Linked DNA regions of Oryzias latipes. The protein of the gene in region 1 purifies or fractionates together with the protein of each later gene. This does not show direct contact. Links are inferred from orthologs where the notes say so. Each region holds a gene or a part of one and is shown in the gene's direction. Other genes may lie near its edges.

Region 1 (2,955 bases):
TGAAGAGGACCAACGAGCAGAAGGGAGAGAATACCTCTCGAAAGGGTACCCTGACTCCCCCACCGCGCCTGAACACACTACCAGACATTTCCTCTGTTTTCCTGAATAAAGATGCTGATACCAGTCCTGGCTCCAGCCCCCAGGCGTTGACACCTAAGGTGGTCAAGAGACCAGGTGTCCAAGGCCAGGAGAACTCTAAAGTAAGTGTCCTTCATCCTGAGTTTCTAAAGTCCAGCGCGTATCCCGCTTTAGGGGCAGCTGGAGATGAGTGCAGGGCTCGCAGGAACAAGCACTCTACAGACTCATCGGTCAAAGAGAGAGGAAAGTTGCAGAGACCTAAGCCAGCTCCACCCCCGCCTTCTAGTGTCAAAATGGGGAAGGTGTCCCGAAGCCCAACTCAAGAGCTCCCTTCCCCATCATCATCCCCCTCATCATCTCCTTCAGACGTTAGAGGAAAGGGCCCTCCTTTCCCCTCCGATCTTCACCACACCGCCTCTGCTAGTGATCTAGGCTCCAAAAAACTGCCGCTAAGCTCCATCTCTAAACCTCTGCCTTTAAAGAGCTCTGCGTCAATGATCAGCTCTCCCACATCCCCAGGGGAGCTAAGCTCATCCGCATTTACCCCTCTAGTGAATACCCGGCGCTCGCTTCGCAAGACTGCGCCCCGCCAGGCGTCGGAGCGCACCCCAAACTCAGCTGTGACACGTGAGATGGTGCTGGAGGGAGCCGAGCTGCTGCGTACCGCCATCTCCCGCAACTCTGAGCAAACGGGCAGCCACAACGCGGTGCTGGAGGCCGGCAAGAACCTTTCCAAATACTGCATGAGCTACGTTGACTCCATCCAGCAAATGAGGAACAAGTTTGCATTCAGAGAGGCCATCAACAAACTCGAAAACAGCTTGTGTGAGCTTCAGATCTGCCCAACTGCCACAGGGGCCTCCAACCTGCAGCAGGACTTCAGCAAGCTGCTGTCCTCCGTCAAGGAGATCAGTGACATTGTTCAGAGGTAGCGCCATGAAACTGTAAACTTTCCAAGACAGGAAACTGATATATGTTATTTGTTACACTATCCTTTAGGAGCCAGTGTTACTGGAGAATGAAAGACGATGGGGAGCAGCATTGACGTAAAACTCCCTCCTCAGTCGGCGCTAACGCATCCTGTGGTTACAGTTGATGAAACTGTGGAGGTCATCATATGCCTCCACTATGAATGCACATAGCTGGCCATAGTGTGGGGCCAATTCTTCACCCATATTTCTTTTGGAAATGAGATGTCCTATATTTTGTGTGTGTGTGTGCGCGTGTGTGTTTCTGACACTGTTTTCATTCATGCTGCGACAATGACTTTTCCCTTTTATCTCTTGACTCAAAAGAAATTGTTGGAATGGATCAAATAGTTTGCCTCTGTCCAGCACATCAATTTTCTGTAGCTTTGCATCGTGTGTGTGTGTGTCATTGTGTGCAGAGGCAGTGTCTGGTTTGGATGGATGTTTTTATTTTGTTTAACTTTATTTTTTTAATTGTTCTTTTTTTGAAAACTTATCGAGTAAGAATGCGAGACAGAATGAGCCTCTAGCTTCATGTTTCTCTGCACACTCTGGTATCGAACAGTGCCTTAAAACTCTATTAATATGGCAGTCTTAGTCTTAACACTTGCATTTGCAGATTCCTGGATGTTTTTACTGTTTACCATACCAAAAATGTTTTGTCTGCAGTCTGTACTGGAGGGGGAGCAGGGTGCATGATCTGCAACTCAGTGGATCTATAATTTTTTTTACTGTCCTTAGATGGGACCTTTTTAAAAAAATATATATGTATATATAAATATATATATACACAGTATATATGTATGCACAAGTTTTTGATTTGTCAATCACAAAGCCATCAAAAGGAACTTGGCCTTGCAGCAGATTGCTATTTGATTTTATGTGATCTAACAAATGGACTCCATGATTCTGTCAGGCCTTCGTCTTGTCACACTGTCCAAATGCTGTTGCAGAGGTCCCTCAATCTTAGAAAAACAAATGCAAACGTGTTAGTGTGCATGTTCTGGGGGGGCGGGGGGGAACACTGGACTGAAATGTTGCCCCTCTCACAAAATGTCTCGCAGGGGTAAGGGGAGGGGGTGACAATTACAAGATTTCAGTGCTACGCATGTTCCTTATTTTGTGAACTTTCAGTATTTTGTCTTGTAATCATGTCTTCCTGTATGCCCTGTCTGACTGCGATGCCTGAGGACAAAACTCATCGCTACCTGACTTCAGCATGGTACTTTAGTTGCCCCTATCCCACCAAACATACCACTACTCTGATTTGTCAAAGCCTCAATCACCAATTCATAGACAACTTGGCCTTTATTTGTGTTTTATTTTTTTGTTTGTATGTCTCTAACCTCGGTGCAATTTTTGTGGCAATAAAATACAGTTTTACTTGAATTATACTGCAAAATCTGGTGATTTCATCCCATCTGTAAATATATATATCATCACAGACACAGACTTTTGGTTATAATTTATTTTTCTGGCTAGAATATTTTTAAATCAAAATGTCAACAATTTAAAATCATATACACGCAAGAACGCATTTAAATGTTAGCACAGCTCCTTAAAAATTTATACATATGTACGTTTTTTTTTTTCCATTCATTTTTGTGGACAGACAAAAGCAGGATGTGGTCACTCAAAACTTTAAAGAGGTTGGACACAGGAAGTAAAAACCCCCAGCCCGCCCACCCACCCTTCCATTTTCCACAATAGCAAACCTAATTCTCCCCCAAAAAATCAAGACAGCAATGTAGGTTTACCCCAAATACAGGGGCCACCTTGACGTTGGGGAATCGAATAAAACAAACCTGCCCATCATCTACTCCGAATAGACATGAGAGGAATTGACATTTGCTGACATATATATATATATATATACACTGCACATCTAGTCATTCGTCTTCCTCTCCTT
Region 2 (2,972 bases), on another chromosome or scaffold:
ACATCCGCTTATGCACACAACTCAGCACATTCGAATCCAGAGAGGCCTGCAGCACAGAGACGACAAACCAGGAAGAAAAATCCAAATATGTCATTTACACATATAGGTGTTTTTTTATGGTCTGAAGTATGAACACCCACAATCTGCAATGATTCAGCACTGCCCTACTTGTATCTCGGTGAAAAACTGTTGTATCCACGATGTGTGCTCAAATCAGTAAGATTTAGACCTTTTAACATCTTCACATTCACTAGTATTCTATTTTGAAGTTCATCCTTCAGAATCAGACTGCAGTTGAAAAAGTGTCTGACTTATGAGCAAAACTGATGTTATCTGTGAAACATTTCCTGAATTGGTTGCACAACTGGTGCTGACAGCATGCTGGAACTTCTTATTCAGATAAAGGTTTGTCTCCCCAAAGACAAATTATGAAGTCATTATATTTATTTGACTTTGGCTTCAGCTTCAGCTGGACTTTAATGCAGTTTTAGTAGGAATGTGTGAAATCTCTCAAATGCTACCATGTTCTTTGGTGTTTTTATTGTGCAAATGTGTACTTTATTTGAAGATGATTACATGATGCAAGAGCTCATATCATTTGGTGGAATACGTTTGTTTGTAGCTCTATGGACAGCAGGGCCAGAATGACATTCACAAGCAGCCGCTGCCCCCGTTACCAGGTGAGCTCGTGTTTCCTTTGTCTGACTGCAGTCATTTCTATTATACTTTAACATCCCCCTCTGTTTAATCCATTTATTTCAGTCCCATCTAACAGTTTTGATAGTGCCACAGCTTAAAGATGTGTTTTTCTGCTCCATTTTTTTCTTTCTTTCTCAGCTCCACCATGTTGCTGCTTCTTTGAAATGAAAACTTAAGATAAGGTCACTCGTGTCAGCTTCTGTCTCTCTCTTTTTTATTTTTTATTTTTTAGTGGGTGCTAAAGAAGGAACTCGAGAGCTGTTTGATGACCCTTCATATGTCAATGTGGATAAACCTCGTCCTCCGCTTGCTGCAAATGGAAATGCTAACAGAGACGCCTTCGACATGAGTGAGTGTCTCCCATGTTAATATGTTATTTATTAACCTGATAAATCTAGAACAAAAGGAGGCCTTTATGTAAAACATTTAAACCCAGATGAGTGGTTTTCTGGGAAACTCGACGGGAAAGTTCATCAGTGGCTTGATTTCTTCTAAATGGGAGTCAATGCGAAGGAAAATGACTGGCAATTATGATATTCTATTTTACAATATGGAAAGAATTGGGGTTAATAGATATCTTTAGAGATGAGCAAAGTGGTTTGTACTTTACACTGAAGTGGCCAGCTTTCTCCTGAGGAAAGAAAATAAGGAAAGAAGACTTTTTAGACAAACATTGTAATAGTTTTATTTTATCCTGTCAACATGGTTGACAGGATAAAATAAAACTCAGTTTTATAGTAAGTTTATTGCTTATAAGAAAAGAAAAAAAAAATTACTTGAGCCAAACTAAGGATGTTTTTTTATTCATTTGTTTGTTTAACAGTTTTAATTGACTACATCATTGTTCAATTGCTTTTTATTTTTATTCTATTGTTGTTTGTTTTTACCTGTGAATCTCTTTGGTGAGCCTGGGCTTTTGTACAGTGCCTTATTAATCATTTTTGATTAATTATAATTAATAACTTAACACAGAAAACCCTTTTTAGGATCATTTTCCTGACATTTTCATTTGTATAATTGAAGAACCGCTTGATGATGCCCTCGGGGTCTCTGGGACATCGGCGCCCCCTATGGTGCAGCAGCTGCAGAATGAAATCTGGTTCCATGGCAGTTTAACTCGCAGGGAGGCAGAGAGACTTCTGACCAGAGATGGTGATTTCCTGGTGCGGGAATCCGGTACCACGCCTGGACAATATGTTCTTACCGGGCAGCAGGGGGGTCAACCCAAACACCTGCTGCTGGTGGATCCAGAAGGAGTGGTGAGTCATGGTGGGAGTGCAACAGAAAAAGTCAAACAGGGGGGAGAGGCAATACTTTCCATAAAAATGGATGCAAACACATTAAGTGTATTGTTTTTTCTTTTTCCTATAGGTGCGCACAAAAGATCACCGGTTTGGAAGTGTCAGCCACCTGATCAGTTACCACTTGGACAACAGACTTCCCATCGTGTCGGCTGGGAGTGAGGTCTATCTGCAGCAGCCAGTGGAACGCAGAGCCTGAAACCACACACCAATGAAATACTCACTCCAACAGAAGATCCTAACAAACACACGTTTTCAGCAACATCTATTGAATGAACGCAGAATAAGTCTAAATGAACACACAAGCAGCACAGACAACCAAAAATAAAGAAAGAACATCATCACTCCTGTAACATTTTTCTGCCAAACTGTGACCTGCAATCTCTCAACAATATCAGGTGCCGTCCTCCAGCACGGAGAAGCACTGCTGCAATTTCTCTGCTTACTGTGAAACAGGAAACAAATGCAATCTAATTTTAAAGAACAATGTTGACTCTCCATCATGAATACCCACTAATGTAGTTGAACTGCAGAGGATCACGGATGGATGCAGAGTGAGACACTTTGAAAAGAGGCAAACCCTTCTGCCCTCAGACTGTTGCTGGAGCATTTAAGACAAAAACAAACTGGATTCTGAAACTTTTTCTGCACCCGACTAAACCTCTTCCTCCAAGTGTCGCAAGAGGACTTCGGCAACTCTGACCTTAAGACAAGTCTAGCAGATGAATATGCAGACAAAAGTGTCCCTCCTATCTTATCAGGAAAGTCCCTCCTCCTCGAGCTACTTCTCTTTTAAGGTCTTTTGAACTGCTGGAGGAAAACCTGAGCCCAAAACTGGGACTGCTATGCTAAAGACCATCCTTTGTGTTCTTTTTTTTATATATATATATATATATATATATATATATATATATATATATATATATATATATATATATATATATATATATATATCTGTTCTCATCACTCACT

What was found.
Region 2: the proteins of abl1 (region 1) and shc1 purify together in Homo sapiens (affinity purification with western blotting; 5 studies listed by BioGRID, with this or other methods). This does not show direct contact. The link is inferred for Oryzias latipes from reciprocal best matches to the Homo sapiens genes ABL1 and SHC1.

What each region holds. Positions count from the first base shown.
Region 1 is NC_019870.2:12,798,315-12,801,269, reverse strand, and holds the end of abl1 (tyrosine-protein kinase ABL1), read left to right. Parts: coding exon 1-1,010; 3' UTR 1,011-2,438; downstream 2,439-2,955. UniProt on the Homo sapiens protein: Non-receptor tyrosine-protein kinase that plays a role in many key processes linked to cell growth and survival such as cytoskeleton remodeling in response to extracellular stimuli, cell motility and adhesion, receptor endocytosis, autophagy, DNA damage response and apoptosis.
Region 2 is NC_019874.2:18,324,097-18,327,068, reverse strand, and holds the end of shc1 (SHC-transforming protein 1), read left to right. Parts: intron 1-622; coding exon 623-680; intron 681-931; coding exon 932-1,048; intron 1,049-1,722; coding exon 1,723-1,958; intron 1,959-2,070; coding exon 2,071-2,199; 3' UTR 2,200-2,343; downstream 2,344-2,972. UniProt on the Homo sapiens protein: Signaling adapter that couples activated growth factor receptors to signaling pathways. Participates in a signaling cascade initiated by activated KIT and KITLG/SCF.